Linked DNA regions of Macaca fascicularis. The protein of the gene in region 2 purifies or fractionates together with the protein of the main gene of each other region. This does not show direct contact. Links are inferred from orthologs where the notes say so. Each region holds a gene or a part of one and is shown on either strand. Other genes may lie near its edges.

Region 1 (3,747 bases), on a different chromosome or scaffold from region 2:
AGGAAAGTAAATAACAAACGGAAAAAGTGCTTTGTAAACTGTCTACACAAATGTAAGAGACCGTTATTACAACACAGAGGAAGAAGCTGAAAAAAGGCAACGTCCTGCACTCCCAAAACTGGCAAAGAAATTACTACAATCACTAAGTCAAAGAATCCTGGCGGGGGAGGCGGGGGCGGGATTCAATTTTCCAACCCAAGCCACCAAAAAGTATTCTAAACGTGTGCTTGTGAGAGACAGCTTTTCAAGTTTGATTTTGTTTTTTCCCTGAAGCCCCTAAGAATAAGTTCTAGAAACTTCAAGATCTCTCCGGGATGACCCTGATAGCAAGCAACTGTTTCCCCTCCCTGGCCCCTGCCAATTTCAGAAAACAGGCACCTTAAAAAAAAAAAAAAAGGCCGGGCGCGGTGGCTCACGCCTGTAATCCCAGCACTTTGGGAGGCTGAGACGGGCGGATCACAAGGTCAGGAGATCGAGACCATCCTGGCTAACACGGTGAAACCCCGTCTCTACTAAAAAATACAAAAAAAAAAATAGCCGGGCGAGGTGGCGGGCGCCTATAGTCCCAGCTACTCGGGAGGCTGAGGCAGGAGAATGGCGTGAACCCGGGAGGCGGAGCTTGCAGTGAGCTGAGATCCGGCCACTGCACTCCAGCCTGGGTGACAGAGCGAGACTCCGTCTCAAAAAAAAAAAAATGTATTAAAAAAAAAAAAAAAAGTCTTAGTTGCCACTCCACACGCCGTACGCGAAAGCCTAGACAGACCCTGCTCATCCTCTATGCGGGTCTGCACAGACACCACCCGTTATATCCTTCTATCGATCGGTCGATCCAGCTACAGACAACTCCCTTACATTCCAATTCTAGGGCTTCTTTCAGCAAGACAGATGCTTTCCTCTGCGAGGCTCCCCGCTGGCCACCAGCCCTGCTCTCGCGACCTGCCGCTCCGACTGACGGGAAACCCCACACCGGGCGGGGACTCCCCAAGGAAAAAAGGGGTCGCCTCCCAACCCGCGTTGCCCTCGCGCCTTCGCCCTGGGTAGGTGAGGCCGAGGAGGCAACCGCGAAAAGGAGGCGGAAACGCCTCCTGCCCGACCCCCGAAAAGTTGACCGCGACCCCGCCTCATGTGGCCCCTCCCAACCCCGTCTCTTTAACTAAGGCAACAGCAGTGAGAGCGCATCATTTAGTTTCGGCGAACCCATCTTTAAAGCACGAAACTACTACGTCCCTTAATGTTGAGTTCTGTGAAACCGTCTCCAGGGATCAAATTCAAGAGTTGCGGCCACACGACGTGCCACATATCTTTACACGGCGGGGGAAGAAGCGGATTACGCCTCCCGTCCCCTCCCCACCTCCGGTCACTGCGACGAGTCCCCAAACTCGCCCGCGGTCAGAGAACCCGCGGCTGACCCAGATTCCGCCGGGCGGAGGGCGGAGGGCGGAGGGCGGAGGGCAGCGCGCGCGGCTTCCCGGAGGAGTGGGCGCCGCCGGAGCAGACAGTGCGCGGACCCTGAAAGCGACCCCAGTCCGCGCCCGTCGCGACGTCGGACGCCCAGGGCCTCGAGGCCGGGGGAGCCCACCCCCCAAAAAGATGAGTTGGCCGCACTGCAGAAAAGTTGGACTAACTTCTCAGGCGCCGATGGCTGCGGCAGGGGCCGAGTGGGACTGGGGGGTCGCGTCCCACGCCGCTGGCCCTCAGGAGGAGGAGCGCCGGGAGCGAAGCGGCAGAGCGCCCCCACCAGCCCGCTTCCCGCCCCCACGAGGCCAGGACGCCCGACTCGATGAAAGCCGAAAGGAGCTAAGCCCCCATGCACACACAAAAACGCCCCTAGAAACTTCAACCCTTCGCCATTTTAAGTAGAAGATTTTAATGATTTAAAACTTAAAATTAAACATTTCCCCAACCCTAAACCGGGGGGGCGGGGGCTAACTTATTACTCCATCCCCGCACACCCACCCAGGACCACCAGAAATCCGATCCTCAGAATACAGGACTGATGGGGAAGGGGTGGGGGCTGAGTCATCTCACCTCCTCCGGGGCTCTGTTCCTTAACTCCAGGTTAATCTTCTTCTTCATCTCCATGTCCTCCTCTTGCTCTTCAGCTACTACTCTCCTTCTTTTCCCTTTCCTGCCTTTCCCAATACCCCCAACCCAAAATTTTTAAGAGATTTAGAAATGAATGAAAAGGAACGCAAATATAAACGCCCACTACCACCAGATAGGTGTGGGGGAGAAAGAAGAGAATAGCAAATGGAGTCCAAGAGTTGGGACTCTAACTCAGCTGCCCCCACCTCCTTGTCCACACACTAGCGCGCGCACTCACACGCACGCACGCGCGCACACACATACACACACACATACACACGCACACACACACACACCCGCAGTTCCTTCCCCTTCAATGGCTGCTCAGAGACTGAGCCTCCATGACACGGCACCGCCAACCCCCTGGCCTACACTCCACCCACCTCCCAAACGTATTGGTTGATTCTTTAGCGTCACATTATTCCATTGGGCTAGGTAAATGTCTATCAGTCTTCAGGGAGGACCTGGACCAGAAACTCCGTATCTATTGGCTACGATCAAGGGCGCAGTTAATTCTGATAGGTCCAGGAGGGTGTACGTTCGGGAGTAATGATTTTGAATCCCAGTTCCCCCCCTACTTTTCTTTATGTAGTTGGCGCGCTTTCCCTGGGCACTCGGACGGTTTTGTTGTCTGTTGGATTTGGTTTTTAGTTTTTGGTTTTTTATTCTGTTGTTAGTGTTAAAGAGGGAGAAAGCATCCTTCCGTGCCCAACTTGCGATACTGATAATTCACCACACGGCATGCACTGGCTCTTGGCCGTTTTAAAAACACAGCCTCTGCTTTGCAGCCAAGGTGTACAGCAACGTGCGCATCACATTAAAAAGATGCCTTGGTGGCATTGTCCTGCTGGGGTCAGGCTTTTCACAGAGGCTGACCTTCCGTGATGCAGAGCCAGAGCCAAGATTTTAAAGATGGTAGTTTAACACTATAAAAGACAACAATTTTGAAAGCTGTTGGGTGAAGTATGTAAGTTAATAATATTTAAATAAAACTATCCTGGAGGAATTGTTACTGAGTTAATTTTTGCTGTAATAAACACTAAGACCTTGGAGGAAAAACAACGCTGGCCTAATGAAAATCAGACATTAATTAGCATAGAAATGGCACAGCAATGCCTCTCTAATTTCCCTTTGGTTGGTTTCCATGGAAATCTGTAGGTAAAGTGTGCTTTTAAAAGTGTTTATCGCTTCTTCTCTGCCTTTTGGCTAAGATCAAGTGTAGGATCTGTTCTTAACAGTTTAATATCTGATATATTTTCTATCCGAGTCCAATATATTAAATGGATTTGGGGAGCAGGAAGACGCAATAGGAGCTTTCTTGTTCACTTAACGCATCCACCTGGTATTACAGTACCTCCAGGAACAGTGCACTCCCTCAGGGGATTAAAATTTAGTGTTCAAGACAGAAGAAGGAAAAAAACAAAACAAAACCAGTTTGTCTATGTGGGATGGGATATGAAAGAGTAGGATAATAATTATCTTTTAGCCGGATGTGGTGGCTCACACCTGTAATCCCAGCACTTTGGAAGGCCAAGGCGGTGGGATCACCTGAGGTCAGGAGTTCGAGACCAGCCTGACTAATATGGTGAAACCTCGTCTCTACAAAAAGTACAAAATACTAGCCGGGTGTGGTGGCGGGCGCCTGTAATCCCAGCTACTCCA
Region 2 (3,647 bases):
ATGTATTCCTTTTTAATGCTTTTAGAAAATATGGTATAATGCCATATTAATGTACACTGTTTGCATTTTGTTTTCATGTATATCTTGGGAGATCATCCCATATCAGCATATGTAACACTCCCTCATTCTTTTTATGGCGTCATGTTTACTCTTTCTTGAACTGAAATTTTAGACACCCTGAATATTCTTCTAGGTTGAGGTGTCTCTTCTGGATGTTCTTTTAAAATTAATAAAGTACTCAACTGATAGGCTACGTGCAAATAATGATCTCAGAATCTTTTTTTCATGTACAGAAAATGTTACTGTTATAAGTAAATAAGCTTTTACATTCTAAAATGATAATGAAAATTATTTTTATCTTTATAGTTTGAATCAGCTTGGGTACTGACAAATATTGCTTCAGGAAATTCTCTTCAGACCCGGATTGTGATTCAGGCAGGAGCTGTGCCTATCTTCATAGAGTTGCTCAGCTCAGAGTTTGAAGATGTCCAGGAACAGGTAAAAATGAAACAAAAGGAAGCAGCTGAAAGAAATTTTTCGGCTGGGCACGTCGCTCATGCCTGTAATCCCAACATTTTGGGAGGCCGAGGTGGGTGGATCACAAGGAGTTCGAGACCAGCCTAGTCAACATGGTGAAATCCTGTCTCTACTAAAAATACAAAAATTAGCTGGGCGTGGTGGTGTGTGTCTGTAATCCCAGCTACTTGGGAGGCTGAGGCAGGAGAATTACTTGAACCCAAGAGGCGGAGGTTGCAGTGAGCCGAGATCGCGTCATTGCACTGCAGTTTGGGCAACGAGAGCAAGACTCCGTCTCAAAAAAAAAAAAAAAAAAAAAAAAAAGAAACAGTATTTCCCTTCAGTCATAATAAGGGGCTGAGTTTTGCCAGTTGGCTTTGGTAATCTATGGATTGTCACAAAGGAGTGTTCTAGAAATTTAGTCTTAATCAAATAGAAAATGTCTTAGTGACTGTAGGCGGAATTTCTCTTAGACACAAAATAATCTTCCCCTTCCAAACCTGACATTCTTTAAGCCATGTATATGTACTTTTTTAGACCATGTAAGCAGTTACTGATAGAGGTTTTTTCTTGTAGAAATTTCAAGTGTTGAAAGTAGACCAGTTGCTGTGGCTCATGCCTGTAATTCCAGCACTTGGGAGGCTGAGGTGGGCAGATTGCTTGAGCCCAGGAGCTCGAGACCAGCCAGGGCACCATGGTGAAACCCCATCTCTACAGAAAATAAAGTAGGTGGCCATGGTGGCACACGCCTGTTGTCCTAGCTGTTTGATAGGCTGAGGTGGGAGGGTTCACTTGAGCTCCAGGAGGTGGAGGCTGCAGTGAGCCGAGATCACACCACCATACTCCAGCCTCGGTAACAGAGCGAGACCTATCTCAAAAAAAAGAAAGTGGCTAGTCTTTGCTACTTTTGTGCAGAAGGGTACAGAAAACAAACTTCTTTTTGTTCACTGTTTTCTTATGTAAGCAAGAAAATTCTCTTTTTCTTGCTTTCTTGCTTTACTTTGCTTTTCTTTCTTTCTCTCTTTCTCTCTCTCTCTTTCTTTCTTTCTGTCTGTCTTTCTGTCTGTCTGTCTTTCTGTCTTACAATCTCTGTCACCCAGGCTGGAGTGCATTGGCTCAATCTTGGCTCACTGCAACTCTGTCTCTCAGGTTCAAGCAATTCTCATGCCTCAGCCTCTCGAGTAGCTGGGATTACAGGCGCCTACCACCACACCTGACTAATTTTGTATTTTTAGTAGAGATGGGGTTTCACTGTGTTGCACTCCAGACGGGGTGACAGAGTGAGACTCTGCCTCAAAAAACAAAAACAAACAAAAAAGAATTAGTTCTTTCCTTTAATAAACTGAAAACCTCTGTTTATTGTATACTCTTGGATACTACTTATCTTCCCCCCCCAATCCTACAACTATTTCATTTGACTCGCCAATGAACGTGTTATTGTGGTATACTGGCATCTGAAAGAATTATGAGGGAATTAAACTATGTAGCCTTTATTAATGAATGATTCTTTCACAGGCAGTCTGGGCTCTTGGCAACATTGCTGGAGATAGTACCATGTGCAGGGACTATGTCTTAGACTGCAATATCCTTCCCCCTCTTTTGCAGTAAGTTTCTTCTTCCTTCTTCCTTTTTGAGAATAAAAATGTAAGAGATTCCTCAGAAAGCATTACATCTTTGGAAATCATTTTGGATTTTCTAGTGTTATTTTTTATTCCAGATATTTTCTTGTATAGATCATTTCCTCCAGCACCCTATCTTTTTCCGTGCCAAAATTCTGAATTACTTGCATCAGAATTAATGAAGTTTTAATGTTTTGGAGAAAAGCTGTCTGAAGACATCTCTTTATCAAAAGTATTATTTAGTATTTATGTCATCAGATAATCACTGTCTGTTATATAGTTTACCATTGTACCATCGTGCTTGTAGGTTATTTTCAAAGCAAAACCGCCTGACCATGACCCGGAATGCAGTATGGGCTTTGTCTAATCTCTGTAGAGGGAAAAGTCCACCTCCAGAATTTGCAAAGGTAAGGACTATGCTTTTGGGACATTGGCAGAAAAATACAATTAAAAGAATATAGCAACCAATAGTAAGGTGAACAGAAAGATAATTTTTGTTAAAATTTAAAATGTTAGAATTTTATCTGTTTTCAGACAAACAGTGTTGTTTTTGTTGGTTTTCTTTATTATTTAAAAAGCAAATTTAAAGCATAACTTGAAGGTGCACATTTACGAAGGGACTGCAAATAAAGCATAGCATGAAGGAAGAATTTGTAAAGCTTATTGAAATTAGGCTGCATACAATTAGTATACTGTATTAAGAGACTATCCTTTCAGTTCTCTTAAAACAATGGTTCTCAAAATGTGATCTGTGAGTTCTCTGGGAGTCCATGAGATTCTTTTTTTTTTTTCAACAGGTTTTTGGGGAACAGGTGGTGTTTAGGTACATGAGTTACTTGTTGAGTGGTGATTTCTGATATTTTGGTGCACCCATCACCCAGGCAGTATATACTGTATCCAGTGTGTAGTCTTTCATTTCTCACCCACCTCCAGTCCTTTCTCCCTGAGTCCCCAAAGTCCATTGTATCATTCTTACGCTTTTGTGTCCTCATAGCTTAGCTCCCACTTAATGAATGAGAACATCTGATGTTTGGTTTTCCAGTCCTGAGTTACTTTACTTAGAATAATGGTCTCCAGTTCCATCCAGGTTGCTGCAAATGCCATTGTTTCGTTCCTTTTTATGGCTGAGTAGTAGTCTATGGTATATATATCACATTTTCTTTATCTACTTGTTGATTGATGGGCATTTGGGCTGGTTCTGTGCATTTGCAATTGTGAATTGTGCTGCTCTAAACCTGTGTGTACAAGTATCTTTTTCGTATAATGGGTAGATACCCAGGAATAGGATTGGGCATCAAATGGTAGATATACTTTTAGTTCTTTAAGGAATCTCCACACTGTTTTCCATAGTGGTTTTACTGGTTTACACTTCCAGCAACAGTGTAAAAGTGTTCCCTTTTCACCACATTCATGCCAACGTCTATTTTTCTTGTTTGTTTGTTTTTTGGTTTTTTGAGACAGTTTTGCTCTTATTGCCCAGGCTTATAGTGCACTCGTATGGTCTTGGCACAC
Region 3 (3,747 bases), on a different chromosome or scaffold from region 2:
ATCAAATCCTTACTTTTCTAAGTTCCACATGGAATTCGCCAATTTAAAAGCCACAAATTCTTATCTTTACAACTAATGCAGCACTTTGTTCTAAGATATCCTTTTACTATATTACCAAAGTTCTTGTCACCTTTAAAAGATTTCAAACTTTTCAGTTATTGTCAGAATGTTTTAAAATGACATACATAATAATTGTTACTTTTTTTTTTTTGAGACAAAGTTTTGTTCTGTGGCCCAGGCTGGAGTGCAGTGGAGCAATCATGGCTCACCGCAGCCTCAACCTCCCAGGTTCAAGCAATCCTCCTACCTCAGCCTCCTGAGGGACCCTCACCATAACCAGCTAATTTTTTTTTTTTTGCATTTTTTGTAGAGATGGGGTTCTGCCATATTGCCTAGGCTGGGCATGATTTTTTTTTTTTTTTTTTTAGAGGGAGTCTCGCACTGTCACCCAGGCTGGAGTGCAGTGGTGCGATCTTGGCTCACTGCAAGCTTTGTCTCCCGGGTTCAGGCCATTCTCCTGCCTCAGCCTCCCAAGTAGCTGGGACTACAGGCGCCTGCCACCACGCCCGGCTAATTTTTTTGTATTTTTAGTAGAGACGGGGTTTCACTGTGTTAGCCAGGATGGTCTCAATCTCCTGACCTCGTGATCCACCTGCCTCGGCCTCCCAAAGTGCTGGGATTACGGGCGTGAGCCACCGCACCCGGCCTGGGCATATTTTTAAAACCCCACAGTCCACAGCATTAAGTTTATTTACCAAGTCATGGGTCAATTTATGTAAAAACAACCTGAGATTGAAAAACAAAATATCTTGGTACTAATTTCCTAAACATTTATATGCAAAAGCAAGTATTTGTATTTGTTAAAACTCCTACTACGCTGGAAACGCAAGTAGGGAGGATCTATCTCCCACTATCTTCAAATAATGATCAGAGATAACACTTTTCAGGCATTACCGCGCACTGTATGCTCCATAGAATCCTTGCAATAACCCTATCAGTGGAACATCATGCCAATTCCATAGATGGAGACAAAAAGCAGTTAGGCTAAATAAACCTGCTGTAGGTCACACATCGGTGGCCCCAGGATCTGAACACAGGCAATCTGGCACCAAAGCCCCCTCAAAGAGGTTGCTACCTACTAAGGCAGTCAAGACAAATTACCGTTTAGAAAGCAGGGAAGCTGGGCCCGGCGCGGTGGCTCGCGCCTCTAATCACAGCACTTCGGGAGGCCGAGGCAGGTGGATCACTTGAGGTCAGGAGTTCAAGACCAGCCTGGCCAACATGGAGAATCCCCGTCTCTAATAAAAATACAAAAAGCTAGGCTGGGCGCGGTGGCTCACGCCTGTAATTCCAGCACTTCAGGAGCCCAAGGCGGGTGGATCACTTCAGGCGGGAGTTCGAGACCAGCCTGGCCAACATGGTGAAACTCCGTGTCTACCAAAAATATAAAAATTAGCCGGGCGTGGCCGCAGGCCCCTGTAATCCCAGCTACTCGGGAGGCTGAGGCAGGAGAATCGCTTGCACCCGGGAGGCGGAGGTTGCAGTGAGCCAAGACTGCGCCACTACACTCCAGCCTGGGTGACAGAGTGAGACTCTGTCTTAAAACAACAAACAAAACCAGAGAAGCTACCACAAAAACCTAGTGCCATGGTACCGCATGACAAAGCTAGGTTCGGTGGAAACAAGGAAAACCAGCTCTTTAAGTGAACTCTGATAAACTTCATTCCTGGGCCTCAGTCTCTGTCTCAGGGAGAAAAGGAGCACCACAGGCTGTTTCAGGCCAATGTCCCCAGATGCTACACATCTGGCAAAATCTGCCCCTTAATGGTCACCTAGCGGCGCTGGAGTGGGGAAGCCCTAAGTTTAGAAAAAAACAAAGAGCGGTAGGTGGAGGTGAGACCGCCAAGAGACAGCCGCCAAGCCAGCCTCCAGGAGGCGCCAGGGCTCGCGCGCCCGGCCTCGCAGGGAGCCGCCAGGTTGGGGCTCGCACGCCCAGCCGCTGCCGCCGCCTCCGCCCCTCGCTGCCGGCCCCTGCAGCCCGGGCTCCGTGAGCCCGCCCGGGGGACGCCTGCTCGCCCTTTCTGCCGCCACTGACCGAGCAGCCCGGTCCGGACCGGGCTCCTAGCTCTCACCCCTCACCCTCACCGCTGCCTGCGCGCTTTCCGCGGCCCAGGCTCGGCGCGCCCAGCCACGATAACGCACCCTCCTTTCACACTCACCGGCAATTGCAGCGTCCTGTCGCTGGGTGCGACCGTCATGTCGGAATCCGAGTCGGAAAGCTGCCCATCTTCCATGTCGCCAACCTCCAACGCCATCTTCCTGCCCTGCGATGAGCTGCGCGGCGGAGGGTCAGGAGAGCACTTCCGGCGGTGCGGCCGGAAGGCCCGGCGGCGCGCCTGTTTGGGCGCCCCCGCACGGAGGCCAGCATGTTGCAGCGGCTTGAGGCGTAGCCATTGCGTTTCAACTACCGCGGGAAAATGAATCCCTTGTTCCCCCAACACTTTTCTTTCGAACTTTATTTTCGTGCAAACAAAAATATGTCACGAATCGCGGTCGTCTGGGATTCCCCCCTTGGCCGTACATCCTTCGCCTGTATGCTCTGGACAAGCCTCCTTGCTTCCATTCTTGCTCCTCCGCTACCCACTCTACATATTGCTTCCAGGGAAGCCTTTCAAGCGGTATAGTCCGCCCTCTGTATCCACTCCCTATCCACAGATGCCAAACCTGCGGATGGGAAGGACGCACTGTGCACCACCACATAATATAAGGGGGCTCGAGCATGGCCTATGTTGGTATCTGTGGGGGTCCTGAAAACAATGACCGGCAGATACCGAGGGACGATTGTACCTTAGCTGGAATCTTCCAAGTGCACCCCTCCTCAAAACAAGGACTGAGTTCTCAGCATGGTGTTTGAAATGTTTGTTTTTCGGTGTCATAAAGAAATAGCACTTGAACATAAATTTAATTTATTGAGTAAGGCCATTTTTACTTTCTGCAGAAAGGGTACGCCCACCAGCAGTTTTGCCAGGAGAGTACACTGAACAAAGGAGACAGGGTCATTTGTAAGCTGAGGCGTTTACCTTACTGCTGTGGCTGGTTTTTATTGGCTGGAACAGGACCTCACATTTTGTATTCCTCGGGATTGGCTAGCAACTTGGAACTTTTTAAAAGAGGCAAAGGTAGAGGAGAACAAAGGAAGGAAGAAGTACCTTGTGGAATGTGGAGAAAGACAAAAACACTTTTAAATAAGGAAGAGGAACAGGCTATGACCTAATGCTTGCTTGGACTAGTATAAGCATGCCAGGGCAAATATTTAGGCTAAATTGTGGGAGATAAGAACATAAAGTACATTTATTTTATTATAGCTAGCAGATATTTAAGAATGTTAGCACAGGTCTTTGAATAAATTTTGCTTTTAAGAGAGGTTACTATTTATTCCTAATTAGATGGGGAGGAAAGTCTTTGAAGAGGAACCTCTATTTTACTTTTTACAATGGCAAACAAGGTTATGTGGACTGGGCACCAGGTCACTGGTCCTGGTGTGTCCCCCTGCCCAGCCGCGGGCGCGCTGAACCTGTTGTTCCTCAGGCAAGCCCTCTGCATTTGCTGTTCACTCGGCCTGGAAGGCCCTTCCCTCAACCCACCCCATTCTTTAAAGATTATCTTGGAATCGCCTTTGCAAAAATTGTAACAGTGAGAAAATTACGGCAGCGGGGGAGATCTGATCTAGCTAACCCCTATTTTGCT

The links.
Region 1: the proteins of KPNA1 (region 2) and ANP32E purify together in Homo sapiens (affinity purification with mass spectrometry; 4 studies listed by BioGRID and IntAct, with this or other methods). This does not show direct contact. The link is inferred for Macaca fascicularis from reciprocal best matches to the Homo sapiens genes KPNA1 and ANP32E.
Region 3: the proteins of KPNA1 (region 2) and PHAX purify together in Homo sapiens (co-immunoprecipitation; 4 studies listed by BioGRID and IntAct, with this or other methods). This does not show direct contact. The link is inferred for Macaca fascicularis from reciprocal best matches to the Homo sapiens genes KPNA1 and PHAX.

What each region holds. Positions count from the first base shown.
Region 1 is NC_088375.1:111,027,780-111,031,526, reverse strand, and holds the start of ANP32E (acidic leucine-rich nuclear phosphoprotein 32 family member E), read right to left. Parts: upstream 2,419-3,747; 5' UTR 2,083-2,418; coding exon 2,029-2,082; intron 1-2,028. UniProt on the Homo sapiens protein: Histone chaperone that specifically mediates the genome-wide removal of histone H2A.Z/H2AZ1 from the nucleosome: removes H2A.Z/H2AZ1 from its normal sites of deposition, especially from enhancer and insulator regions.
Region 2 is NC_088376.1:160,795,179-160,798,825, forward strand, and holds part of KPNA1 (importin subunit alpha-5), read left to right. Parts: intron 1-366; coding exon 367-498; intron 499-2,031; coding exon 2,032-2,120; intron 2,121-2,442; coding exon 2,443-2,542; intron 2,543-3,647. UniProt on the Homo sapiens protein: Functions in nuclear protein import as an adapter protein for nuclear receptor KPNB1. Binds specifically and directly to substrates containing either a simple or bipartite NLS motif.
Region 3 is NC_088380.1:133,171,903-133,175,649, reverse strand, and holds the start of PHAX (phosphorylated adapter RNA export protein), read right to left. Parts: upstream 2,329-3,747; 5' UTR 2,316-2,328; coding exon 2,220-2,315; intron 1-2,219. UniProt on the Homo sapiens protein: A phosphoprotein adapter involved in the XPO1-mediated U snRNA export from the nucleus.